Xenopus tropicalis: one gene and its partners. The protein of the gene in region 3 purifies or fractionates together with the protein of the main gene of each other region. This does not show direct contact. Links are inferred from orthologs where the notes say so. Each region holds a gene or a part of one and is shown on either strand. Other genes may lie near its edges.

Evidence for each region.
Region 1: the proteins of vdac2 (region 3) and phb purify together in Homo sapiens (affinity purification with mass spectrometry; 4 studies listed by BioGRID, with this or other methods). This does not show direct contact. The link is inferred for Xenopus tropicalis from reciprocal best matches to the Homo sapiens genes VDAC2 and PHB1.
Region 2: the proteins of vdac2 (region 3) and rab7a purify together in Homo sapiens (affinity purification with mass spectrometry; 3 studies listed by BioGRID and IntAct, with this or other methods). This does not show direct contact. The link is inferred for Xenopus tropicalis from reciprocal best matches to the Homo sapiens genes VDAC2 and RAB7A.
Region 4: the proteins of vdac2 (region 3) and fam162a fractionate together in Homo sapiens (co-fractionation; 3 studies listed by BioGRID and IntAct, with this or other methods). This does not show direct contact. The link is inferred for Xenopus tropicalis from reciprocal best matches to the Homo sapiens genes VDAC2 and FAM162A.

Annotation. Positions count from the first base shown.
Region 1 is NC_030686.2:14,015,384-14,023,634, forward strand, and holds the start of phb (prohibitin), read right to left. Parts: upstream 4,849-8,251; 5' UTR 4,811-4,848; intron 4,734-4,810; exon of another isoform or gene 4,634-4,733; intron 3,500-4,633; 5' UTR 3,477-3,499; coding exon 3,389-3,476; intron 2,998-3,388; coding exon 2,836-2,997; intron 2,598-2,835; coding exon 2,455-2,597; intron 388-2,454; coding exon 271-387; intron 1-270.
Region 2 is NC_030680.2:135,593,819-135,602,314, forward strand, and holds the start of rab7a (ras-related protein Rab-7a), read left to right. Parts: upstream 1-2,737; 5' UTR 2,738-2,842; intron 2,843-8,496.
Region 3 is NC_030683.2:54,947,447-54,955,262, reverse strand, and holds part of vdac2 (voltage-dependent anion-selective channel protein 2), read left to right. Parts: intron 1-1,633; 5' UTR 1,634-1,638; coding exon 1,639-1,705; intron 1,706-4,506; coding exon 4,507-4,556; intron 4,557-5,043; coding exon 5,044-5,196; intron 5,197-7,816. UniProt on the Homo sapiens protein: Non-selective voltage-gated ion channel that mediates the transport of anions and cations through the mitochondrion outer membrane and plasma membrane.
Region 4 is NC_030678.2:3,411,539-3,419,858, reverse strand, and holds the start of fam162a (protein FAM162A), read left to right. Parts: upstream 1-2,700; 5' UTR 2,701-2,972; coding exon 2,973-3,018; intron 3,019-5,729; coding exon 5,730-5,849; intron 5,850-6,610; coding exon 6,611-6,716; intron 6,717-6,941; coding exon 6,942-7,050; intron 7,051-8,320. Other genes in the region: ccdc58 (coiled-coil domain-containing protein 58), read right to left, coding at 281-331. UniProt on the Homo sapiens protein: Proposed to be involved in regulation of apoptosis; the exact mechanism may differ between cell types/tissues.

The DNA of each region.
Region 1 (8,251 bases), on a different chromosome or scaffold from region 3:
CTAAGCAATTCTTTTATTCCCAGGTTCTCACATGAGCACTTTGCTCCGATGAGATGAACTGGTCTAAAGCTGAATAAAAGAGTGTCCTTATTTATATTTATCTCAAAAAATTTCCACATAAAGTTGTATATAGACCCTGTCCTTCTCACAACACTCTGTCCTTTTATTTGTGAGGTATTTTATTCACTACTAGGATTCTAGCCCAGCATTTTACAGTTTTACAATCATACCCTCAACTGGTATACAGATCAGGAAGGAGAATATCCTCACCAGTGACACGTCATCCAGGATGAGGCCGAAGGTGGCTGCTCTCTCCATGAGATCCTCGCTCACCTGCCTGGACACCAGCTCTCTCTGTGTGATTAGCTCCCCTGCATCGAACCGGGCCTGGAGCGCAAGTGTTAGAGAATTAAATCAAAGTGACAAACAAAATGATTGCCCAGTGTCTTAAACATCTAGTTTCAAACTGATCCTAATTAATATTTGAATATCTGTCTCAGCACTAGTTAATTTTGCCACTTCAGTATGTGTGATGTATCTTTCATCTTGCTCTCCTATACAGCCAGACACAACACACAGGAAATTAAAACTTTGTATGAAACCGCTGACCCAAGAAGCAGCTATGGCATTCATTCAAATGTTTTTTCCTCTTGAACAGCCTACAAGCAACTTGTGTATAAAAGCAGGGGTGGTTCCAGTCCTATTCAGCTCCATCAGGGAGTAGAGGGCAAAATAAGGATTTGGAGCTCTGGCTGACTATGTGGGTGGGATCACTAACATGTAAACAAACATTTTTTTGATAGGTTAATGGGGCATTATAGTCCCTGACCTCAGGTTCCCACCTATGACTCCTCACTCAACTGGCAAGTAGGTGGTAAAAGGTCAGTAAGGGTTCTCTCTTTATTAGGATTCCCACGTATGGACCACAGGTGGCAAGGGAAGCATGTAGGGCAGTGATACCCCAAACAGTGGCTTGTGAGAAACATGTTGCTCCCCAACTCCTTGGATGTTGCGCTCAGTGCCCCCAAACCAGGTAGTTATTTTTGAATTCCTGACTTGGTGGCAAGTTTTGGTTGAATAAAAACAAGATTTACTACCAAATAAAGCCCCTGTAAGCTGACAGTGTGCACAGAGGCAAACTAATACATAGTTGCATAGGGTTGAAAAAAAGACCATTGAGTCCATCAAGTTCAACCCTTCCAAGTAAACCCAGCACCCACAACTTACCTATCTATATATACAAACACTAATACTAACTGTAGATATTAGTATCACAATAGCCTTGGATATTCTGCTTGTTCAAGAACTCATCCAGGCCCCGCTATAGGCATTAACAGAATCTGCCATTACCCCATCACTAGGAAGGGCATTCCCCAACCTCACTGCCCTCACCGTGAGGAACCCCCTACGCTGCTTCAAATGGAAGCTCCGTTCCTCTAATCTAAAGGGGGGGTCTCTGGTGTGTTGATCGTTTTTATAGGAAAAAAGAACACCCCTATCTGCCTATAATCCCCTCTAATGTACTTGTACAGAGTAATCATGTCCCGTCGCAAGCGCCTCTTTTCCAGAGAAAACAACTCCAATAGCCAATCTTAGCCCTTATTTGGCACCTCCATGAACTTTTATGTTGCTTGTTTTGCTCTCCAAGTCTTTTTACTTTTGGCTGTGGCTCATGAGTAAGAAAGGTTGGGAACCCTTGACGTAGGGTTTGGGGAACTTGTCCTCTTATGTGGGGGGTGGGGGGAAAATCAGTACATGCTAAAGTGCAGCAGCAGCAAGGGGTCACTGATAACCTAATTTCCTTATCCCACATGGGCTAATCTAGACTTCCACCTGGGAAAATAAGACTTGGGATCCCAATGGAACTGTGCAATATTTATTAATTCTTGCCCTCACTTACTACCCCACTCCCACCGTGGCATAAGAAAGTACAATTTAGACCTAGGTAGAAAGTAAGCCTCTGGTTGTTTCTCCCATATATCTATATTGTATTCATTAATATAGTGCCACAAAAGTATGAAGTGCTTTACAAGGTATAAACACAAACAGGGGAATAGTTATTATAAACTATAGTTATAAATCAGGCAATACAAATACTTAACATTGTTTAAGTAGATGTTCAATACACAGTTGGGAACACCCAGAAAGTCTGCAAACTTTTTGGCATTCATATGCATGCAAGTCATTTAAATGTCCATTTTCATTTATATTTCTACCAGTAACGCTAGCTTCTTGCAATCCTTGCCTTCCAATGGCACGAGCAGCTGCAGTGCTCTAAAGAGAACTATTGTGCAGAGCCGTATTTACCAAATAGGCACCTGAGGGCCTGTGCCTAGGGCAGCAGCTTCCCATTAATCCTAGGATCTCATATTGTATAGCATGTGATCAATAACCTTTATAAAAAAAAAAAAAAAAAAAGATACAGAAGACAACATAGTCCCTCATCCCACTTACCACTACAGATTTTAGGATCTCAGTAGTAATGGAGGGCAGGACTCTCTCATCATAATCTTCTCCAATACTGGTGAAGATTCGCGGCAGCTGATTACCCATTGGCCGGAAAAGGATACGCAGTGTAATGTTGACGTTCTGTAGATCTGGAAAAATAAATGAGTAGGTCGTTGGTATAGACTTTATTTTAAACATAAAGAAAATTTGCATCACCACAACATTTTGCAATAACCAAAGCTTTAACTATGTACCAATATCACAAATCATAGGCTAGATGTTACAAGTGGGTCCAAGCCTAAAAGGCAAGCACCATTTCTCTCCTAATAGGTCATTTTTTTTTTTAACTGACCCTGAAAAGAGTGGAAAAAGCTTGGTGCCACTTACCTTTGCTCCCTGTAACAACAGGTACGTTGCGAGGACGTGAGCGACAGTCGAAAATGATGGGTTTCTGGACCCAAGGAATAAGGAAATGGGTTCCCTCGCCCACTACTGTTTCCTGTACTCCTCGGAACCTATCAAAGATGACTGCCTGGTGTCCAGCATCCACTTAAAGAGAGGAAAGAAAGGGGCGTTATGACTGATGACAAACAAATAATTAAAGCAATAGGAGAAGGATTGCACTGAAGTGAACTGGAGCTTTGAATAAAAGGCAGAACAAATTAACAAAGGAGAAGGTATTAAAAGAAAAGTATAACTTTTGCTTAATTATCTATAAATAAGTTAATTATATGAGCATAGCTATTTTCCACAGGGAGTGTGATCCATGCATCTGTTTATGCATAAGTGGCTGCTGCAATACTTGCTCCTGATAGGCAGAAAAATAATCAATACATTGGTGGCCAATTTATCATGAATATAGTATTGAGCACATTTATATCTAGGCCTTCAGAATAAAATGTAAGCGGGAAGGGACAGTTATGTACATTGAGCTATTTACCATTATATAGTGCAGAGTTCACAACCCCTCCAGCGACAGCCAGTCCTAGGCCAAGTTTCCCAATAGTCTCAAACAGTCGTGCTGCCATTGGTCCTGCGGGTTAAATCAAAACTAGACAAAAAAAAAGTAAGAGTAAGAATTACAACAGGTATAACCACCAGTACATCAGTGATATGTAGAACCCTTACTTTTATATAAGAAACCACCACCTAATTCACTTTGTCTTTTCTCACCATCTACACACTGCATTGTTTCCCAATCATTCCCCAGAACTCGGGGAGTAAATCATTTATTAAGTTATAAGCTCTGTTGAGCAGGGTCCTGCTTACCTCCTTTTTTGGTCAGTATTTGTACACAAACTCTGTTTTTATACATATAAAGCTTCAGAATAGCTTTGCGCTTTAGAAATACAGTTAACTAGAATAGCAATTATGCTACTAATTTTAATTAGTATTCTACTGTATAACAACCTGTTTTGGGTTCTGACCCACAGGTTAATGAAAACATTTTAATAAATGGGTATTTACTCAGGGCATACAGAGACTGGAGGCCCTTATTCACACCTGTAATCTGCTATACCAAGACTCAAGAATCCCCCCTCATTTTAATGAGCTAGATGCAGTTTGCTTTAACATTCAATTATAACAATGTTCCTATGGGATCTTTGTAATAAAACACTGATATTTGTTATTACAATTTTCATTGGCTGTTGTTCAAGGGTGGGGTACCTTAATCATGCCTACTTCAGTAAGCACAGACCATTTTTTTCTTCTTCCCTATGTCCAAGTTCATCAGTATATGGAAACCACTATGGTGTGGGGGCCCAACTATCACAACTTTACCCTGGGCCCATTGCCCCTTAAAGCAGTCCTGTGGTTAATTATGAGTTGCAGAACAAGAAGTTACTAAATAAAATAATTTTGTTGAACCTTGGGGACAAGATATTTTTCATAGACATATACTGAATTACTTATCAGCTTGTGTCCCAGTAGCTCCTGCCCCCCTGCAGTCATAGGGTCTCCTTCCTATAGTTACTGCAACAATTAACCTACTGCAGAGGTGTAGCTACAAAGGAGGCAGACCCTGAGGTTGCAGGGACACTAGCCAATAAGCAGCTATATGTACTGCCAAAGTAGTGGGGGGTCTAAAATGATTTTTTTTTAGTAATGCCAATGGCATATCTTCACACACTGAACACTTTTCTTCCCTGCCTTAGAAGATACAATGACCTCTAGATTGTGATACTTGTCTGTAGTTGGACTGAAAGTTCCCAGCATGCCTTGAGAGCCACAGATGCGCCACACTGACAGCTTTAGAGATCTATATGTTAAGGATCATCGTTCTAGCGACCTCACACTAATGTACTTTTTTATTTCTATTCTCTCTATACCTGATACACAGCTAATTATGCCCCCTACTCACCTCCTTACGTTCTGACCTCCACATGAAACACGCTTCCGGATCACGCATGCGCAATCTTCCCCTTTCAGCGCTATAACGTTATTCGCTGCTCGGCATCGCGTTGCATTATGGTACTTGTAGTTCCAGGGTTTGCTTTCCCTTACGCGTACTATATGCTTGTAGACTACACCTCCCATAGTAGCTTGGGCTGACGTGACAACCCATTGGCGGTCTTGACTGTCATGCGAAAAGGGGAGGTGAAATGCAGTGTCAAGGGCGGTCTAAATTAACTCTATCCTCAGCCTGATGAAACCATTAGCGAACCATTTTATTTCTCTGCATGCCTGGAGTTTAGCCTTTAGTAGGGGAGGACAGGGTGGACCCCTTCAGTGTACGTGAATAGTTCCAGCTAACTAGATAACTCCTGTTGCTCTCTGTATCTAAGAACACTAAATATAATTACTCCTTCCTCATGCTCCATTTTTCTACTTTGTACAGGATTCTGTTCTAATAACCCCCCTGCCTGTGTCCACTTTGGTTTAGCAAGCCTTTTAAATCCAATGGTGTCAGACTGAACCATCTCTTCACACAGGGGGATCTTACTGTAGCATTGGAATATACATATGCAGAATATATAAACTTCCTGAAACCTGCAGCACAGCAATACCTGATAACTGATTTCCCTCATACTTAATATTTTATCTATGGTCTCCATTACCCATACTGTGTATGGTGGCCATTGGGGCGACAGCCCTGGTGGGTGCTGCACACCCCAGTCCGACCCTGTGTAAGGCCAAGGTCACACGGGGAGTTTTTACATTGCGTTTTTAAAAACAGATTTGAGCGTAAATACGCACAAAATGAAATACACACTACAGCAATTCCCACGGGGAGCTTGCAAGCTGATATCCGCCACATGACGCCAGTGCTTGCGTTTTTCAGCAGAAACGCCATTACATCAAGGAAACGCCATACCTCTATGGGATCTACATGTGTGGAAATACACTTTGTTGAAATACGCCGCTTATTTTCAATATGGCATCTCTTGCGAGATGTATTGCACATATATGTATTTGCGGCGTTGTATGCTGGTGATGTAATTATGTAGCATCTTGACGATCAGTCCGGCTACATTTTTGCACCTAAATTGCTTTTCAGCTTGGCTTTTGTCCCACAAAAGTTTAATAAAATTCTTCAGAGATGTCTTCCTCCAAGGCTTTTTGTGATACGGAACGTCATTACAAACACGTGTAACAGCAGAAATGTGGGAATGTGGGAAAAAGCTAGAAATGCATGTTGGGAAAACAACACTGCAAGCTGAAAAACGCATTATTATGCTCGTGTTTTTGCTGCCATATTTATACTCAACTACGTGTTAGGGTTAGTAAAAACGCCCCATGTGACCTCACCCCAAGAAGAAAATAGGCATCTCCCACCTATATGTGCATATACTGATATACTGTCTTGTGTGGCAAACGAAACCACCCCAGCCATGTGATGTCAATAGAGGCAAAGTCAAAATATATCAGCAAAGCACAGGGCCAGGAATGTTGAATTATGCCCCACCGATGGCCAAAGCACAGATAGGGTAAAATATGGCCTTGAGCATATGTAATTTAATTCTTCTTCCACTACCCATCTCAGTTACGAGAACAACTGTAGACCTTCTGTACTGTGCCACCGGGGATTCACACACCAGCAGCTATCACTTTTCTGGCTATAAAATGCAGAGCAACACTTCCGGGCTAGCAAGGGCCATCTCCCGCCATTTTGGGTCCTCTTCACTGTGATCAGTGACAAGATGCAGGCTCCTGTGGCAAGACTGCAGTAAAGAAGGCCCAAAGCAGTGTGAAATGGCACTCGCCAACCCAGCTGCCCTACTCTTAGGTTTTTTTAGCCATAGCTTAATAGCTGCTGGAGTGTGAGTCCCTGGTGACTGGCTTCAGGAGGGAGGCCTCTAAAGGGGGCCTAGGGTTGTCCTAAGGGTTTAGTAACATTAGATGTTTAAAAGCTGTTGAGAAAATAAGATATATAATCCAGTTCTGCATCAGTGCCAGATTCCAGGGTGGGCACTCTCGTTTTGAGGCAAACTTCCATCTGGCTGATACAGTTGTTCATAAATACTAGCCCAACAGTGACTGCCAGGCTGAAACACCCAGAATATGATCTCAGGCCTTGCAGCTGTTCTGTACGACAGTTCCCAGATGCACCACTGGGTCCAATTGTTTTAGTCCTGGTGCATTACTACATGTGAAAGCAAAAAGCACCCCCTTGCATAGGAAAAGGATACGTCTCTGAAAGGTGACAGTTCTGGTCTAGTGCTTTCTAGTTCCACGTAGACAATATGAGCCTGCAGATAAGATGGGGCACAAGCAGAATGTATTTGTGCCAGATGCACCTTCCCTCCAGCTCCTAATCACTCCATTTAATGCCTAAAGGTTGCCATACACAGGCCGATAAAAGCTTCTCAAATGGTTTGAGTAGATATATGGCCAACAATTGGGCAGATGTTGATCGGGAAGGTTTCTAAATCCTGTCGGACTGAGGAGGGCATTGGCAAGTTGATGTGGTCCTCATCCCTGCATCCAGTCTATGTGAACCATTGGCCCAAGCGATCGGATCAGTCCAATATCAGCCACCTCAAGGTGAGTATATCGGGGAAGTATCCACTCAATTAGTGACCTCGCCATACGAGCGGATCTTTCTGTGTTTGCCCAGCTTTAGTCTTTCCCAGGTTTTACTTCTGGCTAATGAGCAGAATTGGGTCAGAAAAAGGGGAAATGTAAGGGCCACATTCATTCAGATTGGCTCCTGGGAAGGTTTCTATTCCGACACTCTGTAAGTGTCCCCATCCCATCTTTTAATTTGTGTACCAAAAATCAAATTTAGAGAAAGGTAAAGCAAAAACCATGCAAAAAACAAATTTAACTGAGAGCACAGGGCAAAACCTTGAGCATTTGAATTTAAATTATTACGACTTTCACTAAGGGTCCAGTGAACCTTTGTGCACATAATTCCCACCATATTGCAGCCTATGCCAGGGCAGCCAGTGTCTTTTTATTTCTACCCAGAAATGTGCCCAAAGTGCCCTATTTAGTCTAGCATTTAGTATTAGCATTTAGTATTAGCATTTAGTCTCCGTGCAAATATAGAGAGAATGAGGTGAAAGCTGGCTTGCTGAAGAATCAACCCACAGAGTATTGCTTCAGCCTCCTGTAATGGGCACTAGAATGTAGCTTCCATGAAAGTGCTCTGCCCCCCCCCCCCCCCATGTGGAGGTCAAGATTTTTTTTTGCTGGAGGCCTGGCTCATTATTGCTATGTCAAAATGTGTTTTATTGCTTTTCTGTGAGGGTCAGAGGAACAAATGGGAACCTCAGTCTGTTCTCACAAGTTTACTGTTTAATGATATTTAATGGTATAATGGTATTATATAGGGATCAGACTACTCATACGGGCAGCA
Region 2 (8,496 bases), on a different chromosome or scaffold from region 3:
AAATACACAAAAGCGCACCAGAAGACAGACACAGTCGCCCCAATCATTTTATGACATATTGTGGACCCAAGGATTTTATTATGCACTGTGGCACCTGTATATCATGACTCATGAAAGACATAGCTAGCCAGCTCCCTCCAGCTCCCCCCAGCATCCACCCAACATCCTCCAGCTCCCCCCAGTGTCCTCCCCAACATCCTTCAACTCCCCCCAGCAAGAACCCAAAATCCTCCAGCTCCCCCCAGCATCCACCCAAAATCCTCCCCAGCGTCCCTCAGCTGCCCCTTACCTTTCTCCAGCTGCCTCCCAGTGTCCTCCAGCTGCCCCTTACCTTCCTCCAGCTGCCTCCCAGCATCCTCCAGCTGTCCCTTACCTTCCTCCAGCGTCCCCCTGCATTCTGCGTCTCCTACTGCTCCTACCACCCCCTGCCCGCTTGCCGCGGCTGTGCCCTGGCTCTTCTTCTCCTCCCCATGACGTCACACGCATCTTTCGTTAGCCCCGCAGCTTCTGCACAGTGAATCCCTAAATGTTAGAACTGACCTGTGCGGCGCAGAAGCTGCGACGCTAACAAACGACGCGTGTGACGTCACGGGAAAATTTTAAAATCGGGACAAATCGGTGGCTGTCCGGGACAGCGGGAAAGAGACGCAAAATTGGGACTGCATACCCCCCAACTGTCCCGCTTTCCGCGGGACAGTCCCGGTTTTTAGAGCGCATCCCGCTGTCCCTGATAGTTCCATGAATGTCCCGCATTTCCGTAATAAATTAGGAAATGCGGAACATTCATTGACTTACCCAGGACAGCGCGATGCGTTGGCGCTCCTTCTTCCCCAGCGGCTCCTCAGTGTATGCGGCTCCTTCTCCGGCGGTCCCTGGCCCTTTTATAAGTTGCGCCCGGTGTGTACGTGTGACGTCATTACGCACGGGCGCAACCTTATAAAAGGGCCTGGGACCGCCGCAGAAGGAGCCGCATACACTGAGGAGCCGCTGGGTACGAAGAAGAAGGGAACGCTGTGTATGCGGGGGGAGGGGGCTGTCTCTATTGGGGGCACTGTGTATGGGGTGGGACTGTCTCAATTGGGGGCACTGTGTATGGGGGGGGCTGTCTCTATAGGGGGCACTGTGTATGGGGGGGCTGTCTCTATTGGGGGCACTGTGTATGGGGGGGCTGTCTCTATTGGGGGCACAGTGTATGGGGGGGACTGTCTCAATTGGGGGCACTGTGTATGGGGGGGCTGTCTCTATTGGGGGCACTGTGTATAGGGGGGGCTGTTTCTATTGGGGGCACTGTGTATGGGGGGGCTGTCTCTATTGGGGGCACAGTGTATGGGGGGGACTGTCTCAATTGGGGGCACTGTGTATGGGGTGGGACTGTCTCAATTGGGGGTACTGTGTATGGGGTGGGACTGTCTCAATTGGGGGCACTGTGTATGGGGTGGGACTGTCTCAATTGGGGGCACTGTGTATGGGGTGGGACTGTCTCAATTGGGGGCACTGTGTATGGGGGGCACTGTCTCAATTGGGGGCACTGTGTATGGGGTGGGACTGTCTCAGTTGGGGGCACTGTGTATGGGGTGGGACTGTCTCAATTGGGGGCACTGTGTAGGGGGGGCACTGTCTCAATTGGGGGCACTGTGTATGGGGGGACTGTCTCAATTGGGGGCACTGTGTATGGGGGGCACTTTCTATGGGGGGCATTGTGTATGGGGGCACTGTGTATGGGTAGTACTGTCTTTTAGGCTATTGGGGGCACTGTGTATGGGGGGGCAAACTGGTACATAGTTATAACTCACTTATAACTGACTGCCTTCTCTCTATATTTGTATTTTATATGTAGGAGTTGCTATATTGTTTTCCTTAGGTAGTACAGTATGAGGGAATAGCACATTTGCGTCTGATCCCGCCATTTCTACTATATAAAAGGAGAATTTTTTGAAAAAAAAATGGATGGGGTGTGGCAATTGGGTCGTGGCCACAAAAGTGGGCGTGGTCAAAAATTGCCATGCTGCACGCACGGAATCTTTTTGTCCCTCTTTTCATTTTTCAAATGTTGGGAGGTATGGGACTGTCCCGGGTAAAGCGGGACAGTTGGGAGGTATGGCGTTGTAGTTACGCACGATCAGGGGAGGATGTCGGGCGGGGTCCCCTGTGGGGGTACAGAAGACTCGTGGGGGCCCTTGGGGCAGTAGCCCTGGTGGACCCTGCACCCCCACTCCGACCCTGAATCCGTCTAAAGAAACCGATATCGGCAGCTAGAATCAGCCTTTGTATTGGCCACCATTAGTGAGGAGGGGTGATAGCATGCCCCAAGCCACTTCAGGAGGGAACAATGTGCCAGTAGGCCAGTAATAACGATGCCCCACTTACAATCAGAAATATGAAACTGCTATTCAAAGTAAATGGATTGTGCTGCCAAGTTGCACAATAGTCCAGCAATAAATTGTTTCTCATGGAAATAAAACGCTGAACACAGTATGAACATAACAACATATGTTTGACAAAAAGCACGTTTTCTTCTGTTATTGTTTTTGTGAGGCAAAGTGGTCTTTTATACTGCCTTCCCGACATCTCAAGTCCCCAGGTAATATGGCGGCAAGGCGGTGACACAGCAAATCACGTGGTGTTTTTCCTTTTACTCCCTTCCTTCTTCACGCCCCGTTCCGTTTTAGCCAATAGGTAATTAGGAGGAGGCGTTGACGTCAGGCGCCCCATGACAGGGTGTCACTTCCGTTGGGAAGAGAAGGGTTGGCAGGGGTAGGAAGCGGAGACAAGCAGCGGGCCCGGCGTATAGTATCTGACCGGCCCGGGACATCCAGACGCCACAACAACCCACCCGTAGCAGGTGAGAGGGGCACTGGGGGTTTGGGCAGGGGGCACCTAGTCGGGGGGCTTAATTCAACCCAGCGCCCGACACTAGCGGAGGCCTGATAGCGAGGCCTGGGCAACACCATTATGGTAGTGTTCGAAAGGCACCCACCCTTCCCCCGGCAGGTAGCCCTGATTGTGCTGCTGGGCCTAAAGGCGAATGGCATCATGTCGGGGATGCTGAGTGAGATAATACAACGGCAGCTGGGCTGGCACCGGGACGGTCCCTCCCAAGGCATCCGTGGGGCATAGGTGGTACATCCGTGGGGGATAGGTGGTACATCCGTGGGGCATAGGTGGAACATCCGTGGGGCATAGGTGGTACATCCGTGGGGGATAGGTGGAACATCCGTGGGGCATAGGTGGAACATCCGTGGGGCATAGGTGGAACATCCGTGGGGCATAGGTGGAACATCCGTGGGGCATAGGTGGTACATCCGTGGGGGATAGGTGGTACATCCGTGGGGGATAGGTGGTACATCCGTGGGGGATAGGTGGTACATCCGTGGGGGATAGGTGGTACATCCGTGGGGCATAGGTGGTACATCCGTGGGGCATAGGTGGTACATCCGTGGGGCATAGGTGGTACATCCGTGGGGCATAGGTGGTACATCCGTGGGGGATAGGTGGTACATCCGTGGGGGATAGGTGGTACATCCGTGGGGGATAGGTGGTACATCCGTGGTGGGGGGATAGGGGGTACATCCGTGGGGGGATAGGGGGTACATCCGTGGGGGGATAGGGGGTACATCCGTGGGGGCATAGGTGGTTCATCCATGGGGGCCCTCGCCATTGATGAGACCGTTCTATATTTTGTTATGCTTCGGTGTATTAGGGGAGGCCAGTGTTCTAAACCAAAAGGTAAGGTGGGTTTCCGATGGCAGCCGTGGCCCCTGCCTGTGGCTCCCCAGCTGTGGGAATCAGGGATCTTCACTCTGTTGCTTGACAGGAACCACCCTTGCTTGAGCCCTTGGGGGGGGGATATTTGGAGCAGTAGCCCAGTAGCAGCCACAGCAGTAATGAAGATATACTTTGTTTCTATTCTCCTTTTTTGATCCCCACCCTTTCAGGCTTCAGCTTTTGTTCACATGTTTAATAGTGTCCCCTTTACTCCTCCCTTCTCTCAGCGTTATGTGTCTGCAACACTTTATTGCTAAATGTCCCTCATCATCATCACTTATCAGTCTCCTTCCTCGCCATTCCACTATAGTATTACCCAGTATTTATAAAACATACAGTATACAACCCCACAGTGGCTCATTATTGTGTGTCACCCCTATTTCAGGGCTGTTAATCTATAAGGCCACAAGCCTTAATGAGCTCACTTGCCCTGTTTATCTGTGTCCCTGCTAGCCAGCTAGAATGCACCCTGTTTTATGCATTTATTGCATGATTGCTAGAAATCAGGTTGATAATTACCCAGTGTGTTATTGAGGCTGACGATTCACCTGCTGTATAACAGTGATTATTTCATCTTTCTTTTTTTACCCATTTCTAAGCCCAGCCCACCTGTGTAATCCTTTCATTACCCCTTCCCACTTTCTGTTCTTCATTATGCAACATTGTGGAATCTGTGTACCTTTTCCAGTTTCTCAGCTGCCTTTCCAAGTCCTCATGTTCCCTCTTCTATTTCTCTGTCATCTGCTCTTCCTCTTTCTCCAACAATTTGCAAATACGCTACCCTCTTCATACCCCTGATGGTATCCGCTCACCTTCCTCTTCAGCCCTTCCTAAATGTTTTTTCCCTTATTACTTCCTCATTCATTTTGTAATTGCTAACCTCACTCCTATCACTGTTAACTGCCAACTAATATTTTTGTTTGCATTATTCAGATGCCATAATGTCTGAACACAGAATAAACAGGGTGGTCCTTATTATTCTTTAATGCAATTTTATATATTAATTTACCTTTTATTGGACATTATTTTCACCTTTTGAAGTGCTTGTCTATCTCTTGTTTATTCTCCACTTCTCTGCCCTTTGGCAAGTAGGGTAGTTAGCATTTCCTATTTAAAGAATATATATATATATATATATATATATATATATATATATATATATATATATATATATATATATAAAATATTTTTTTTTTTTTTTTTTTTTTTTTTTTTTAAATATCCATAAAAACCACTATAAACAGTCCCTATAGTAAGTCTGTTGTATTTTGTAAGGGCTCATACTCACAAGTGTTTTTTGCGTGTTTGCAAATGCATGCTGAGTGCAAAAAAACCCACATATATTGGGTTTATATGTGTTTTTTTTAAACGCACCTGTGTGTTTTTGTTGGTTCCAAACAACCCTCTATTCTAGTGAATTATGAATGCACGTCAATAGCTAGAAAATGCATCATGTTAAAAAATTTTTTGGGTGAAACGCAATTCTGAACGCTCGTGCGTTCAACCAGGCAAAATATAATGGAATCAAGTAGAAAATGTGTTTAGGTGTGCTCAAAGATGAGTCTCAAACGAACATCAAACAAATGTACCCCAGCAAGAGACTGCTCCCCTTATTAATACCTTACACTTAACTAGTCTTCTTTTTCTATATACAAATGACTTGTGGCATTATTATATCCCTATTGGCTCTAATCACACTTTCACCTTTTTTCTTCATGTTAATGTGCTGTATAATGGTTTGATGTTTTTCCTTCCCTGGGTGATTGATACATGGTGTCAGTATATCCTGCTACACTTGCATATATCAGAATAAGATTTACTTTTGGCGTGGTTGTTAAATATTTTTTTCCTCACTAGTTTTAGTACAGTGACGTTCTGAGATAATTAGCATTTGGTTTTAAGCTTTTGTTTTGTTGTTTTGTAGTTTTTGAGTAATATACCTTTTTTAAGCAGTTCTCTAGTTTAACATTTTACCCCTTTATTTGATTCCTAGGGTTTTTATTGAGTCTAGCAGCAGCCATGCATTATTTGAATATCAGTCTGGAAAAAGAATGGAAAGAAAAGTCATTGAAATTAACAATAATAAAACTGTAGCCTTACATGACAACAGTGTTTTTGTTTTATTTATCTTTTTGCAGGGGTCAATGACCCCCATTAGCCAGATAGCATTTTAATTTGGAAGCTGGAAAGATGCAGACATTCTTTAAATAACTAAATAAATAAAAAGGTGAACTACCCCTTTAATGCTGTTAATATGCTGCTTGCATTTTCTCATTGCCATACATTGTGAGTGATTACAGCTTCTCTCTGACACCTTTCAGTTAATATTTATTGCCTTAAGAACTTACAGTCATGCATTATCATGCCAAAGGTTTTGCCATTGAAAAATGGAAACTGTTATTCAGTCTAGATGAAACAGTGATTATATTCTGTACTCTATCCTAGTGAAATACAATGTATAGAACACTTCTGGGGGCTTTAAAAAAATCTTTTGAAGGTGGCACACAGTCCTTGGGTAAAAGATCAGCCTTCAGTGATTTTGTTAAATGTGTTCAAATGTGTTTTCGTCTCTCTCGTGGCTCAGGCACCTCTGTAATACTCAGTTTTTATACATGAATATCTTTAGGGAATTTGTATTGATCAGATGCTTAAGGTTAACATATTGCTTCTTTTGTTTCTAAGGAAATAATGCCAGGGTGATTTAGGCAGAAATAGGCAGCTAGAGCAGTGCTGTCCAACTGGCGGCCCGCGGGCCGCATGTGGCCTTCGACCCCCCTCTGTGTGGCCCCCCACCTGTCTGGCTGCTTTGATGGCTTACCTTTGAGTAAGCATTAAATGGTATCAGTACTGAGATTAACTGGCCCCTTGCATGGTTCTCACCTCAGATTCAGGCTGTAATCCCTCTGTATTGTTGAAAAATGTAATCCCCTGTGTTTTTCACACCTTTTTTTTATAGGTAAATTTTTTATTGGTTTTACAACATCACAAAACAAAAATACAAAACAGTGTATAATATATTGACATTAAGATTGAAATGGTGTCGAGTCAGGTTTAGGCCAATACAGTCAAGGGTGCTATTACTAGGCGTTGTAGTTATCACAGTGTAGGTGAGTGTGTTTAGTTCTGTCGGATCAGTCACATTTAGTGTGAAGGGGTAGGTTATGTGTCCAGATTGTCTTGATTATACCAATTTTCCCAGATCTTGTCAAACTTGTCATAAGCACCCCTTGTTTCATAGGTTAATTTGATAAGGGGGAGAGCTCCATCCACCAGCCTTCTCCAGAATGTTTGGGAGGGGAGGGTGTCTCCCATCCAGTGCATAATTATTGTTTTTTTGGCGTAGAACATGAGCGTACGCAGTCTGACTCTGGCCACGTTAGTGCATATTATTCCATCTATGACTCCTAATAGGCAAGTTATTGGGTCTACTATCTGCGGTGTACCCAGTTCACTTGCTAGTGTTTCCATTATTTTGGACCAGAATTCGTGTATGGGGGGACAGGACCAAATCATGTGGAAGAAATTGGCCCCGGGGGATTTACATCTTGGGCAGAGGTCATCCTGTCTTCTCCCAAATCTCATCAGTTTGAGGGGTGTTATGTAGGTTTGGTGCAGAAATTTGTACTGTATGAGCCTATCCTTTATTGGGATTAGGAAATCATAGGCATTTTCTGTGGCTTCCTCCCATTGGTCTTGTGCTAGTTCTGGGATGTCTTGCGTCCAAAGACGGTAGGCTCGATCAAAGGGTGGCTTAATTGTTGTCATAATCTCTTTGTATAGCCTAGATAGTAGTTTGGCTGGAGATGGAGAGAGCAGGATGTCCTCTAGGGTTACTGTGGTTATTGTGGGAGGAAGGGTGTGGAATTGTGCGTGAAAGGCGTGCCTAAGTTGGAGGTATCTATAAAATTGTATCTGCTTTCCCAGAGCTCTGTCTTGTAGGTCTTGGTATGTGGGAAACTGAGGACCAAGTGTTAGGTCTCCAAGTTTCTTAAAACCCAGTCGTGGCCAATAGGTGTAGTCCTGTAGTTCCTGTAGGTCGGGTAGGAGCGAGTTGGCCCAGAGTGGAAGTTGGGGTGAGAGGAGTGGCCAAGGATGGTGCATATTTTTCAAGGCTGTGGTCCATGCTTTATGTGGAGTCAGTAGCGTATGTGGTAGGTTGGTCATATCTGTGTGGTGTCTATAAGGATAGGTGCTTAGGCCTTCTATTGAGTGGAGGATGGACGCTTGAAGTTGTGTATTGGGATTATATGGATTGGGAGCAAGGCACCAGTGTATGTAGTAGATTTGGGAGGCTAAGTAGTAGAAGTAGAAGTGTGGCAAGGCTAGGCCTCCATTTTCGACAGTTGCTGTTAGCCTCTCCCAGGAAATACGGGGGGTGTTTTTCACACCTTTTAATACCTGCATTGTTCACCCCCTGCAGTGTTCACACCTCAGGCTCAGCCTGTAATCACTCCCATTGTTCACTTCTTCACACCTCAGACATAGGTACTGTAGGCAGAGTATGGCACATACAGCCAGCATAGGGCAGGTAGAGTATGGCACACACAGGCAGCATAGGTCAGGGAGGGTATGGCACACACAGGAAGGGTAGGGCAGGCAGAGTATGGCACACACAGTCAGGGTAGGGCAGGCAGAGTATGGCACACACAGGCAGGGTAGGGCAGGCAGAGTATGGCACACAGAGGCAGCATAGGGAAGGCAGAGTATGGCACACACAGGCAGGGTAGGACA
Region 3 (7,816 bases):
GTATATGTGGGGTGGGGGGTGGAAGGTGTCTCACACAGTGCCAACTGTGTTTTGAACATGCTATGCTCTCTCTTTGGGAAAGTTCATGAGGGGGAATGTTTAGTTTACCTAGGAAATTGTTAACAGTTTTGCATATTCTGTGCAAAGATTTTTTTATTTACAAGGTTATGATTATCGCAAGTCACATCGTAGTTTACTTATATTACTTGGAGTTCTCCTGCAACCCGCTTTGAATGAGAATTTGTGTGTGTGTTTAGTTCCACTTCTGTAACTAGATTTGGTGCTCTAATTACCAAAAAGTAAAAATGTTATATATTTCATAATATATTTATGAAACATTTTATGCATGAAAATACAACTGATTTGGAAAGCCTCCTGCCTACTAAATTTGCCAGTACCAAACATGTAGATTATCGAGATTTCTGATTTCAACACACCCAGCACCCATGACATCTAACCACCCATATGCCATCAAGTACATGGGTAGAAACTAAATATGAATGCTAGGAAACTTCTTTGATGCCCAATATGCATAGGATTGCCTAATTATGTGGCATGTATAAATCTCACAATTTACTGCATTTTATGTAGTCATAATCCATAAACATATACTTCATATATCCTTATGTATCCTATGTACCAAAATAAAATGTCTGAGATATAAAAGCCAGGCTTCTTCAGAACAATTTGATGACTAATTTTCATAGCAATACCGATATATTAGTGTAAGCCATATAAAGACCTCAGTATGAAAATATTGCTTATACATTTCCACATTTTCAAGGGCAAAAATAATTAATCCACAGCAATACACAATACAATAAACTAACCTAAATTCAATAAAACTAATTTTTAAGCGCCCCCCTCAGTAATTTTGCACATGCATGTGACATAAGTTTTGGGTGTGCATGGTAATCTACGTATGCCAAATGCCACTGTCTCGGCTTGTAGCTGGGCCCCTCTTCCACTGCATTTTGCCTCTGTTTATGATGCCTTGCCTTTAACTCTTTTTGCTTTAAGGTGCCAGTAGATTAATAAGAAACCCTGAAGTTTAGAGTCCGTGGTGTTTGCAACCTGAAACTTTTGAGTTGTAGATTCTATGTTGACCATTTAACAAAGGGTTGGACCATGGTTCATTAATCCTTTACCTTTTATTTATCCTAGTCAGGATGTTTTGAATATGACACCAGGCTCCAACTCATTCAGCTGTCCTGTGCTGTATAAGTTCATATTTGTTAGTGTTAAAGTGATACTGACACTAAAAATCTACTCTTCAAAATATAAATGTACATAAAAAGTTCCCTATAGGTCATGTAGATCATTTTTCCCTGATAGGACTGCTTCTGTAAGTAATTGTTGTCTGAAGTTCCTAAATTTGGCAACCTGACTGTCCCTTCTCAACCTGTCCGTTATAGCTTCTAATGCTAACGGACTAATGCTGCACAAAGATGGCAGCCCCCTCATAGACCAGATAGGTAATGTAAAAGCTTTGAACAAATGCCTTTATGTCAAAGTTATAAAGAACATGCAAAGACAGTGTTATGACCAGTTTTTCAGTTGTCCTTATTTCTTTAAGGGTTGCAATTTTGTTTTATTATTTTTAAGTCTGCAAAATCTTTTTTTATGTCTCTAGGCACAATGGCTGTCCCACCATCCTATGCTGATCTTGGTAAATCTGCCAGAGATATATTCAACAAAGGATATGGTAAGTCCCAAATCAGTCTTGTCTCGAGACACGTGGTAGTAAAGTGCATGTCATAAAACAGTAAAGATATGGGATTACTTATCCGTAATGCTTGGGACCTGGGTTTTTCTGTAATTTGGATCACAACACTTAAAGGGGGAACTATACCCCCAGAAAGGATACTTAACCAATACATAAATTATATTATATTGGCCTGTGGCCTGTAAAGAAAACTTACCAAACTTAAATATATAAATATACATGCATGTATGGGATCCATTATCTGGAAACCTGCTATCTAGAAAGCTCAAAATTATGGAAAAACTGTTTAAAACTGATGCAAAATATGCATAGAGCCATAATAGCCCACATTTTACTCCTTAAAACAATGCATACTTCTGATGCATTTGGGTGTCAGAAATACCTTCTAAGAGCATTGCGTCTGTGGCTGACAAAGCAAAATAAATATTTTTCAGAGAACAGTTTTTGAATTTCCAACACTAATTCCATATTTGCAAGGGGCCCTTGCTTCCCCTGGGCCTTCCCTATTCACCTGTATCATTTTCTGACACAAGCTTTAAGAACAGGAAAGTTGTGATTGACACTATCCTTGGGGGGTGGCGCAAAGTATCAGCCTACTAGAGAAAAGTCCTCCTGTCCCCCAAGGCAAAACAGCTTTGACAAAGCTCGGCCTGACCAAGTGAAACATGTGTCAGGTGCTTTTAGCCGGTGGTAGATAGGCAGGGCGCCGTGAACTCATTTGTTGTTGATGGGTGATTTGGGGGATGGGTGTTGCTGGGATGGGTGGTTGTGGGCTGGATGACCTGGATAGCGGGGCAAGCTGTGGATCACTTGGGGCCTTCCCCACTAGTATAGCTTTCTGAGGACTGTGGTGTACCTTGCAAATCTGGGATTAAGGCTGGTCACCTTTATCTTTATAGTTATATGTATAGTTTTATTATATATTAGATTTAAAAAGTTATTTATTATATATTTATATTATATTAAAAAGTTACTCTTGATTCTACTTGTTTTTAGAGCAAATGTGGGACAAAAATTAATTTAATTAACATTTTCTTTACTTAATAAATGCAGTCTAAAAAAACCCCATCTGATTATTTTCCTTTAGCCACTCTGTGCATGCTACAAGTCAAGAACATTCTGTGCCCTTTTGTTTAAGGGGCAACTAGCTTGTCACATTATATGTAACGTAAAGATGGCCTGCTCTGGTAGATTTAAGCTGTCAAAGTAAACTTGGGGATATCCATCTTTCAGCTACTTTTAGTGGTTTATTTCCTGTTCTCCATAAAGACCCAAGGTCATGGGATTGTAAAATATACAAGCACACTGTTGGATATTTCAGTCAATAATGGTGTCTTTTCTACTAAAAAGAGTGGGGTTGATTTGAGTGGAGGCTGAACAGGGGTTTCTTTTTATTTCAGCGGTTGTTAATTTTATGTATGTACTTACTATGCCTTTTTATAGCATAGCTTGCTGCTAACTTACCATGAACTATTATGACTAACCGCTCCCAAAATTCACGACACCTAAGCCATTTCTCTGTTTGCTATACTCCTTTTACAATAGTCTAGTTCCCAGCAAGATTCCTGCCTGACTCTAATGGTAGCCCTGTCAGTTACAGTGTGTATGTTAAACGGGTTATAAAGTCAAAAATTATAATTTTTCTGTTATTTGAACCGAATGAAATAAATATTTATAATTAGAATCACTTGTTTTTTACTTCTCATTGTTACCAAGCCCTTTTGTCACAGCTGCTCTAAACCTCCACGGCCAGTGGCTGTCTGTTTCTCCTACTCATCCTGACTGCCATTAGACTGAATGAGGGTGTGTATGTTTACTCTGCACATAAGGTGCGCCCATTGCTAACACAAGAATGCTTTAAAGGCAAAGTAACACTAAAAAAATTTTAGTAAAAAATCTATTACTGCACCGATAATTGCTCTATCCTGCAAAACACTTAGTATTTTGAATGCTTTATTAGATAATACCTTCTAAAACTTTGCTTCCGGTCATTTGAAATAAGGCGATACAGCGAAGGAAGGAGCAGCATTCACTATGCGACGATCGATTGATCGAGCCTAGCCTGAATCGTTCCTATACAGAAGGAAGGCTAGGCTCAATCAATCGATCATCGCATAGTGGATGCTGCTCCTTCCTTCACTGTATCGCCTTATTGCAAATGACCGGAAGCCAGGTTTTAGCAGGTATTTTCTAATAAAGCATTCAAAATATTAAATGGTTTGCAGAATAGGGCAATTATTGGGGCAGGGTAGAATAGATGTTTTACTTAAAAAATTTTAGTGTTACTTTTCCTTTAACAAATCAGGATTACATGTACTAAAAATCCTGTTGTAAAGACGAGCTATAATCCTGTGCACCAGACCAAAAAAAATTGTGGTTTGTTTAAAAAAAGCATCATTAGCCACACTGTAGATAAGGTGATGTCAAGGCAAATGCTGTAATAGAGCCTTTCTGCAGAGAGAAAAAAACATTCCCACTCATCATTTGGCTCAAGACAATGAGGAGAACGGTGCTCCATTTAGGTGTGTTTAAAAGCTATTTTAACTGCTTTGCCATAAAAAAAAAAAAAAAAATCTTATTAAAACGTGTGTCAGAGTCCTTTCCTATGTCAGGCTTATCTATAAATGCAGCATGTACAATTTGACTTTAGATCTCCTTTAAATACTGTTCATATAGGAGTATGTGTTGTAGTAATGCATTAAAATCTTTGCATTGAAAGTTATGGTCTTGTTGCTTGTCAGTAATCTCATTACTTTGTTTTTGTTTTGTTTTTTAATAAGGTTTTGGACTGGTGAAACTCGATGTTAAGACCAAATCTGCAACTGGAGTGGTGAGTTCATCTGTAAAGTCTTTATTGTTTTTCCACCGTGTCTACTTTTGTAAGGCTGTATACCGTAACTATTTCCTTAAAACACTGTTTCTTTAAAATATGTTCTTGGATTTCTTTAAAAAATATCCAGGGCTACAGTTAAAGGCCTATTTATCAAACTGTAAACAAACAAAAAAGCAAATATACCACACAGCCACACTTTTTTGCATGTGCGAATTAGTTATTAAATCTCTTGGTACAAGCTTGTCCTAGATAAGATTTTTTTTCATCATCTTTTGCATTAACTGGGTTACTTGGGCTAATGGTTACATACATGCACATGAACTGCTATAATAAAATATTATAGCAAAAAAAAAAAGCGTTTTAATTTTTTGCAAAGTGAGGTAGTGGTAGATGTTGTTTAATCTGCAGATTTTATACCACGGCAAGTGAGAATAGCATCAAGATCAATAAAGCTCATTGCCTAACTTTTTTTTTTTTTTACCAGGAATTCGCAACATCTGGTTCCTCAAACACAGACTCGGGCAAAGTAAATGGCAGCCTAGAAACTAAATACAAATGGGGAGAATATGGATTAACCTTCACAGAGAAGTGGAATACAGACAACACTTTGGGGACAGAAATTGCCATTGAAGACCAGGTGAGTGCACTACAGGTTTTAGTAACAGTCTGTTTTTGTTATGTGTTTCCTATTTCACACCAAACATTTCACACTAATAATGAATCCAGAGAACCCTAACTATTCAATTGATTGTAAAGTAATACAAAGAGGAAGTTTAGAATTGCTCTTTTAATTAAAAAGGGGTTTAAAGGAGACATATAGTATAAATTGGAAAACCCTAATTTTGTAGGCAATTAGGATTAATGTTTAGCCCAAAGGGAAACCAGCACCGGATATTATTCATATCTGTAACAATGGCCCCTTTATTGGAGCTCCCTATAGATCCTATCTCTTCTCTGACCATGTTTGAAATGAAGAGTGGGCGTGTCCTAACGGTCCCTGCCAGAAGCACAGTAGGAGGGGGAGAGCCAATCACAGCCCTGCACTCACACAAGCACAGACAGGCTTTAGTTCCCTATCAGGTCAGCCTAGTTGCTGATTGGTTCCTATCCTACAGTGCAGTGTACAGAGGGCCGTCGGCTCCCCAGCTCATCCAGAGAATTCAGCCAGCAGGAAGTGGCACAGATGGGCGGGGCTAGTGGGGGTTTGGGGGAATTTCTCAATAAATTAGTCTGAAACACAACTTTTTTAAGCACAATCCTTCTATATCTAGAGGAGTATAATTTCCTGGTACATTCTTAATTTTTATAAGATATGTCTCCTTTAAAAGTGTGGGCGAGGCTTTTAAAATAAGCACAGAATTAATTTAAAAAAAAAATCCGTATTGCACACTCTACCAAACCAATATTAACAGTTGTTTCATAGGTAATCCTACGATCACTCCTACAATGAAAATCCCTCTAGACCAGGGCATTTAAGCATAAAACCTTTAATCAAAGTTCTACAAAAAAAAAAAACTTGTAAATGATATGGAGATGTGCTTTTAGACCCACTTCCACTTCCTTTGAAGATTGTATTTGTATATATAATATATAACAGGAGAAGAGTGGAACCGTACTCACAGGTCTTGTGAACAAAAAAAAAAAAAAGGTTTATTAAAGATGGACTAACGTTTCAGCTAGCAGTAAATATAATATATACATATAATAAAACAAACCATTAAAAAACACAAAGAAAAAAAAACAAATAGCGAGTAAAGAAAAGTATTGCAAGCAAAAAGTTACACGTATACAACACAGAATGACCACATAATCAGTTATTAGTAGAAACTATGTTTATAGACACTATAGTATACGTGGAGCCTATTAAGAGTTAGGAAACTCATCCAAATATTTTGAAGTATGTATAAGTCAACACAACACGATTGACATAATTGAAACAGCTAACATGTTTCCCTCTTCTTAATAAGATCAGTTCTGTTAAGTATATATCTTTATATACAAATGGTACTTACATTAATCTAAATTTTCAGAGGGATATTTGAGCTGTGTAGAGCAAGCTAGAGTCCCCGAGGAAAGTCGTAGAAGTCGGTTATGCACTTAGTGCAGTAAGCTACATAGGTTGTCATACCGATTGAGTGATCAGTGCATTACAGCACACGCTCTTGGTACGGGGCATCACACAGGGTTGTCATAGTAACTTGGAATCAACTGTCTAACTACAAGGGAGAGTAGTAATAGCTATGGGGTTATAATGGCAGGTTACGATAAACTTAGAATGGAACTTCCTTGTGCGGTAGTGGTTATGTGTATGTGGCTTTACTTATAAAGAATGTGTAGTGCAAATGCAAACAGAGGAAGCTTTGATTAGAAAAGATGGAAAAAGGTGAAGATTAAATAGAGGAAAGAACTGAAACGAGCGAGTGCCAGGCTGCAGTTAAGGTTAGGAACAGAGGATCTCCTATTTAAATCTGATAATCAAAGTATGAAGTGTGACCAGTAGCAAACGAAAATACATTATACAGGCCTGCTGTGTGCGTTGATAAACTGAAAGATCTCAAGTCAAGCTTGGGCAAATGTTGGAACGGCCACCGTTGTATTTGGGTATATGGTGTTATGGTTAGTACATAACTTACACTGTATAGAGGTATAACACACAACCTGTCCAATAATGCGTCAACAATGTTCTTAAAATGTAATATTTGGTTTTAATAATATACCTGTGATGCTTAATGTAAAATGGTCAAAAACCAATATTAATCAAGTTACTCGTTAGCAGTGCAGTATATCAAAGCAGGGAGCATACTGTTCCTTGATGGTACCAAATGTGGTAACTACCAGATACGTAATACAAGAAACCGGTGCTTGTATTACGTCACAGTGGGAAAGATCACTTAATTAATTTGAGGATGAATATAAAGAGTAAAGAAACAATAAGGTATGTAGGCAACTGTAAATAAGAACAAAGTATATAAAGAAGGGATCAAGCAAGTGTGTAGGACAGAAAGGTAGGTAAACATAGTACAAGGCAGAACATAAAGTGGTCTAAACAGGACAATTTAACCAAAACACTATATTAAAGCTCAACCACTATCTGATGCATCAAGCACAATAGGTCAATCAAGAAACATTGTAGAAAACATAATCAATAAAAAGGAGCATAAGAAATCGGTTTGTTCAAAACTCCGGAACTCAAAGTATCCAAACGATGGATCTATCCAAGTTTTCTCGGTCACCACCCCATGATGATGATGGTGGTT
Region 4 (8,320 bases), on a different chromosome or scaffold from region 3:
TCCCGTGACCCCCCTGTGTGCCTTCCCGTGATCCCCCTGTGTGCCTTCCCATGATCCCCCTGTGTGCCTTCCCAACTCCCAGCCCCCCGGGCACCTCAGGTCCCACAGAGAAACCCAAGCAGGGGTCGTTTCAATGACCGCACAGTTTCCCCTCTCTCTCCTTCCCGCACTATTACCCCGCACTATTACCCCGCACTATTGCCCCGGCCCCGCACTATTACCCCGGCCCCGCTCTACCTGCCCGGACTCCCCCTGGCGCGGCGGGAAACTTTGCCCTCACCTGAAACTCAGTGAAGTCTTCGCAGCTCCCGTCTCCGCTGGGCGCCGCCATATTGGAAAAGCCGGAAGGCCCCGCCCCCCCAGTCCCGGCCTCCCGATAGGCTGCCTGGGGAGGGGCCTGATTGGAAGGTGCCGGGAGTTAGCGGGGAGCCGTGTGGGTGAATGTTATTGGGGTGTCACGGTACAACTCAGGGGAACCCGGAACGTACTTATTCCTATAGGGTCACAGTGCTGTACAGTGAGTGGAAAGGGTTCCAGTATATAAAGGGTTAAACTGAAACTCCCATCAGCCTGACTCCCAGCACCCTCCCCGACCCATTGCTTGGGCCCCTCTATCCCTGATCCCTGGGTGCTGCCAGCCGACCGGATTGGTGCAGACAGTGAGCCAATCAGATCTCAGTGAATTGCAAGCCTTTGGGGCCCAAACAACAACATGTTGTGGCCAAGTGGAAATACTTATTTACTGTATTTGAAATAAAATAGAGGGGGGGGGGGGGGGGGTATAGTGAAGACCCAAAGGGAACAGCAAAAAGCCCCATTTTTAAGGCCCAGCCCATTGGTTAATAATCCCTGCCTAAACCCAGTGGGGTAACTATATGGCTAATGGGCATCAGTCTTTCCCTGAAGTTGCCCCTGGAGCCATGGCGGTGGGTTGGGCACACACAGGGCACACACAATGGCTCTCGGGGCAAATACAGGGAAAGGCTGATGCCCATAGGGGCTGTTTGTTGGCATTTACCCACAGGCTGAGAATCAGCCCCGTCTGGCATTGGCCCAAGGGGAGTAGAACCCCCAGCCCGTCACCCTGTGTTCTACCTGCACCCACTGTAACCAGCACCCAAACAGGTGTCCCTATGGGAAGTCTGCTGTAGGGAGGGGCCAAAACCAATACATTGTACCTGACAGGGTCAGACTGGGGGGTGCAGGGACCACCCCAGGGTCCCCCACACCCCCCAGAGGGGCCCCGCTGCCCGCCCTGTACACACGTACAATATAGGTACTTCCAGGTGCACCGGAGGGGTGGCACTGAGTGTGAGTACTGCACCCCAGATTTCTGTTAGTCTCTTTGTGGGACTATAAATACAGCTTATACCCAGGGCCACCATCAGAAATCACGGGCCCCTCACAACAAAATGTTCTGCCCCCCCCCCCCATGCCACATGGCCCCTCCTCCACCCATGCCACATGGCCCCTCCCCCAGTAACCCCTCCCATGAGTACAAAGGACACACAGACATTGGTAGCCAGGGCCCCCTAAAACATTGGTGGCCATAGCCCCCCTAAAACATTGGTAGCCAGCCCAGGGCCCCCTAAAACATTGGTGGTCCTTCCCCAGTGTCCTCATACTATGGCCCACTCCTCGCTGCTTCCTCCGGCTCTCCCCTGTGTCATAGCCACACAGGCCAATGATAGCCACACAGGCCAACACTTGCCACACACACAGGCCAACACTAGCCACACACACACAGGCCAACACTAGCCACACACACAGGCCAACACTAGCCACACACAGGCCAACACTAGCCACACACACAGGCCAACACTAGCCACACACACAGGCCAACACTAGCCACACACAGGCCAACACTAGCCACACACAGGCCAACACTAGCCACACACAGGCCAACACTAGCCACACACAGGCCAACACTAGCCACACAACCACAGGCCAACACTAGCCACACACAGGCCAACACTAGCCACACACAGGCCAACACTAGCCACACACAGGCCAACACTAGCCACACACAGGCCAACACTAGCCACACACACAGGCCAACACTAGCCACACACAGGCCAACACTAGCCACACACACAGGCCAACACTAGCCACACACAGGCCAACACTAGCCACACACAGGCCAACACTAGCCACACACAGGCCAACACTAGCCACACACACAGGCCAACACTAGCCACACACAGGCCAACACTAGCCACACACAGGCCAACACTAGCCACACACAGGCCAACACTAGCCACACACAGGCCAACACTAGCCACACACAGGCCAACACTAGCCACACACACAGCGTCCATATTGCTCAGTTTACCCATCCAGCCCAAGTAACCCTAATCCTTTCATTCACCCAAGTGAGTTGATGCCCCATATCTGCCCCATATCTGCCCCACTACTGCCCCATATCTGCCCCACTACTGCTCCAAGAAAGCAGAGGAAAGTCTCCATTTGAAGTGGATCAGCTGGGACCCAATAAGATCCATGTGTATGAACATACCCAAATGTAAAAGATCCTGTCATGGTATATACCTATAACTGTCAGTAAGTTGCTAAAGTGCCCGGGGTTGGGCAGGGCATTGCTTATAGGCTGGCAATGTTATAGCTATTGGTTGTATCTATGCTTGTACCAGGGGTGCTCCCTGCCAGCTCTCACCACTAGGGGGCAGAGAATACTGGATTAATCACAAGGAAATACAGCTCGGAAAGCCATCTCCCTGCACCGTGTTCTGCGCACTGTAACTGAGTGTAACTATCAGAGGGGGCAGTACGGCCCTGACACGGACAGCTACAATAAGCACCCCGGAAATACATTTGGCACGCACGTTGCGTTCCACGCAATTACACAATATATCCCGCCTCTGCAAGCGTATTGGTTGTCTGCGGACGCGGGCGTGCCTATAACAACACGTGACTCCGGGCCCGCTGACAGAGAGCGGCTGCCTCTTGCCTTGAGGATGTGGGGAGCAGCGCTGAGGAGGAGCGGGCTGCGCTCATTGGTCGGTGGGTAACACGTGGGTTTGCTGGTAGACTGAAGTGGTGCCGGGGAGGATCATGGGAGCAGGGAGGGTTACCGTTATCTCTGAGGGAAGGAAAGTGGCGTTGCTCTGGGGCTGTGTATAACGGATATCCCCTCTCTGTTACACCCCCAGAGCTGTGCGGAATCAGGGAAGGTGGCATGTAATAAAGTCATCATGTATATTAGTGTTTCACCTCCCGGGGAATAATACACACGGCCATGTCCTTCCCGAACTGTGCTCTCTGCCTGCAAGGTCCCGCCCCCTTTAATGTCTGTCTGGGCCCCTTACAGCTCTAGGGCCACTGCCAGGATTTATACCTACCCCCCCCCCCAGCCAGGGTACTACAGCCCCCCCCCCCCCCCCAGCCAGGGTACTACAGCCCCCCCCCCCCCAGCCAGGGTACTACAGCCCCCCCCCCCCCAGCCAGGGTACTACAGCCCCCCCCCCCCCGCCAGGGTACTACACCCCCCCCCCCCAGCCAGGGTACTACAGCCCCCCCCCCCAGCCAGGGTACTGGGTACTACAGGCCCCCCCCCCCAGCCAGGGTACTGGGTACTACAGGCCCCCCCCCCCCAGCCAGGGTACTGGGTACTACAGGCCCCCCCCCAGCCAGGGTACTGGGTACTACAGCCCCCCCCCCAGCCAGGGTACTACAGCCCCCCCCCCCAGCCAGGGTACTGGGTACTACAGCCCCCCCCCCCAGCCAGGGTACTACAGCCCCCCCCCCCCAGCCAGGGTACTGGGTACTACAGCCCCCCCCAGCCAGGGTACTGGGTACTACAGCCCCCCCCCCAGCCAGGGTACTACAGCCCCCCCAGCCAGGGTACTACAGCCCCCCCCTAGCCAGGGTACTACAGCCCCCCCCAGCCAGGGTACTACAGCCCCCCCCAGCCAGGGTACTACAGCCCCCCCCCAGCCAGGGTACTACAGCCCCCCCAGCCAGGGTACTACAGCCCCCCCCAGCCAGGGTACTACAGCCCCCCCCCAGCCAGGGTACTACAGCCCCCCCCAGCCAGGGTACTACAGCCCCCCCCCAGCCAGGGTACTACAGCCCCCCCCCAGCCAGGGTACTACAGCCCCCCCCCCAGCCAGGGTACTACAGCCCCCCCAGCCAGGGTACTACAGCCCCCCCCCCAGCCAGGGTACTACAGCCCCCCCCCAGCCAGGGTACTACAGCCCCCCCCAGCCAGGGTACTGGGTACTACAGCCCCCCAGCCAGGGTACTGGGTACTACAGGCCCCCCCCCCCCCAGCCAGGGTACTGGGTACTACAGGCCCCCCCCCCCCAGCCAGGGTACTGGGTACTACAGGCCCCCCCCCCCCCAGCCAGGGTACTGGGTACTACAGGCCCCCCCCCCCCAGCCAGGGTACTGGGTACTACAGCCCCCCCCCCCCCAGCCAGGGTACTGGGTACTACAGCCCCCCCCCCCCAGCCAGGGTACTGGGTACTACAGGCCCCCCCCCAGCCAGGGTACTGGGTACTACAGCCCCCCCCCCCCAGCCAGGGTACTGGGTACTACAGCCCCCCCCCCCCAGCCAGGGTACTGGGTACTACAGCCCCCCCCCCCCCAGCCAGGGTACTGGGTACTACAGCCCCCCCCCCCCAGCCAGGGTACTGGGTACTACAGGCCCCCCCCCCCAGCCAGGGTACTGGGTACTACAGGCCCCCCCCCCAGCCAGGGTACTGGGTACTACAGCCCCCCCCCCCCCCAGCCAGGGTACTGGGTACTACAGCCCCCCCCCCCAGCCAGGGTACTGGGTACTACAGGCCCCCCCCAGCCAGGGTACTGGGTACTACAGCCCCCCCCCCCAGCCAGGGTACTGGGTACTACAGGCCCCCCCCAGCCAGGGTACTGGGTACTACAGCCCCCCCCCAGCCAGGGTACTGGGTACTACAGGCCTTGTTAGTCTGACATCATCACAGTGGGTTGGCCTGGGGCATACAATGGTAAAGGGCTTAGGATCAGACCCAATACAGGAGAGAATGGGGGGGCAGTATTTACTTTTGGGCTGTTGTGGGTCAGTGATTGGGGGGGGGGCAGGTGTATGTTTAAGCCCAAGTACCTGTTACTCAACCATCTCTTCCTTCCCCTTTGGTTGCTGCCAGGAAGCCCCCAGATCCCCTGTACCAGAAGCCTTCCCTGCTGGGGCCCCATGGCCGCTCTCCCCTATTGGAGATGCAGGGAGTTGGAGCGGGGCCACAGTGCCAGGAATGTAGCGGATAAGTTCCCAGCCTGGCACCGTGCCACGTTCCCCTGAATCAACAGAGCGCCAGTCTGGTATTGAGGCCTCTGAATGGCTGGAATTGGCCCCGAGTCAGCTCTGGGAGCCACAGAACAATCCCCCCATTCACTGACTGTCATAACAAGGTGCCGGCCGTGGGAATGGGCCGTCGGATTCACTAGGCGCATTGTCAGTCTCCTTTAATGAGAATCTTCAGTGTCGAATTATGGGGGGGATGGCAGTGTTTTAAGGGGCCACAGTGACCCAATGTTGGGGTGGCACCCGAGAGGTTAAATATGGTTTATGTGTTTAAAAAGGGGAAATACTGACCTGGCAGCCCTGGGGGTGGGGTATAAACTAATGCTGGCAGAGAGGGGGCAGGTACACAGGGTCATTATTACATGTACCCCAGTTTGCTGGGTAGGTGCCCGGGGGTGGCAGTAAGTCTCACTAACTCAAACCTTCTGCTCAGAGCGAGTGACTGTGCTGAGAGGAGGCTCTGTGCCCACTCACAACCCTCTGCCAACACGGACGTTGGGGATCCCGAGATGGCTGTGCAGCAAACCCCAAGAGGTGAAGCCCAAAGAGCCTGGTAAGTTGCCTGGTCTCATTTTTGTTGCTCTTGATACTGTCCTGCGGGGGGCGCTGTCTCTATACAGAGAAGGAATGTTCTGGGCACACAATAAGCTGTACCCCTATACTGTACTGTCTAAGGGAAACACTATGGCACCCCCTACCCATATGTATAAATACAAATATACAGAGAAGGAATGTTCTGGGCACACAATAAGCTGTACCCCCATACTGTACTGTCTAAGGGAAACACTATGGCACCTCCTACCCATATGTATAAATACAAATATACAGGGAGGGAATGTTCTGGGCACACAATAAGCTGTACCCCCATACTGTACTGTCTAAGGGAAACACTATGGCACCTCCTACCCATATGTATAAATACAAATATACAGAGAAGGAATGTTCTGGGCACACAATAAGCTGTACCCCCATACTGTACTGTCTAAGGGAAACACTATGGCACCTCCTACCCATATGTATAAATACAAATATACAGAGAGGGAATGTTCTGGGCACACAATAAGCTGTACCCCCATACTGTACTGTCTAAGGGAAACACTATGGCACCCCCTACCCATATGTATAAATACAAATATACAGAGAGGGAATGTTCTGGGCACACAATAAGCTGTACCCCCATACTGTACTGTCTAAGGGAAACACTATGGCACCCCCTACCCATATGTATAAATACAAATATACAGAGAGGGAATGTTCTGGGCACTGGGATATAGATCCTAGAACTGTAACTTAAAATAACTTCTTTCCATTCAGGGGTTACATTCAAGGTACCAGGACACAGACCCACCGACTTTGAAAAGAAGATTCTGGTGTGGGGCGGTCGCTTTAAAAAACAAGAGGATATACCTGAACTTGTGACGTGAGTATATCACCTGCGCTGTGGGCGGGGCTAGAGAGAGGCTTGAGGGGGGTTGGCTTTTCAAGGGCAAGTAAGTGTGTAATTAACTCCCACCCCCCACTTACTGGGAGGCGGGAACTGTGTCAGTGGGTGGGGCCAATATGTCATTGCTGTGGCAGGGGGTGTATTTAAGGTGTTTCAGGGCACAGAGCGGCCATGACGTGGTGCCTTTATGCCCCGCCCCAGGTACGACATGGTGGAGATGGCTAAGAGCAAGGTGCGGGTGAAGGTCTCCTACCTCATGATCCTAATGACCATCCTGGGCTGCATCGCCATGGTGGTGTCTGGGAAGCAGGTAAGTGTCTGTATCCGTACTGCACCCCCGGGGCACCCCGCCAGCTGATTGGCCCATAGCTGTAACCATTCAACTGCTACATTGTATCTCACCCTGAAACACTCTTGCTCTGCGATTGGCTGCTAGTTGGTCTGCCCTTGAGAATATTCTGATTGGCTCGTGGCTATATTCCACTGCTCTCATTGGCTACAGGCTGCTTTAGCTGTGTGATCTTTGAACTTTAATGGGAATCTGCCCAAGTTGGTAGATCCCATGTTTGTTACCATAGTCACCCTGAAGAGTTTGGACCTGAAGGCCAAAATAAGAATGAATGGGAATTGTCCACATCTGGGATCCACTAGTGCTTGGGCCCACTGGGAGATGCTCCAGTACCCAGGCCTTATTGCCCCAGGGGCTCTTTATTGGACCAACTACTGATATTTACTAAACAGGCGGTGTATTGGGGCTCAGATACTCTTATAATAACAATGTTGCTTTAAACGTCCGATGCCCAGCCTCAGCCCTTGGCGCTGTCCCTGCTGTATAATCAGACTGGATTGGGCCGGCCAGCAGCAGCAGAGATTGGCCGGGGAGGACTGGCGCTGAAGGTCATTGAGATTGGCTATTAATAGCAGTGCATGGAAACTGCCAGACTCCTTGGTACCAACGCCACTCTGTCCAGTCCCGAGCTTTGCCAGTCTCTGTGCAGTAGCGGATTTGCCCACACTAAGCCTGTCTCTGTGCAGTAGCGGATTTGCCCACACTAAGCCTGTCTCTGCGCGGTAGTGGATTTGCCCACACTAAGCCTGTCTCTGTGCGGTGGCGGATTTGCCCACACTAAGCGTGTCTCTGTGCAGTAGCGGATTTGCCCACACTAAGCGTGTCTCTGTGCAGTAGCGGATTTGCCCACACTAAGCCTGTCTCTGTGCGGTGGCGGATTTGCCCACACTAAGCCTGTCTCTGTGCGGTGGCGGATTTGCCCACACTAAGCCTGTCTCTGTGCGGTGGCGGATTTGCCCACACTAAGCCTGTCTCTGCGCGGTAGCGGATTTACCCACACTAAGCCTGCCTCTGCGCGGTAGCGGATTTGCCCACACTAAGCATGTCTCTGTGCAGTAGCGGATTTGCCCACACTAAGCCTGTCTCTGTGCGGTGGCGGATTTGCCCACACTAAGCCTGTCTCTGTGCGGTGGCGGATTTGCCCACACTAAGCCTGTCTCTGTGCGGTGGCGGATTTGCCCACACTAAGCCTGTCTCTGTGCGGTGGCGGATTTGCCCACACTAAGCCTGT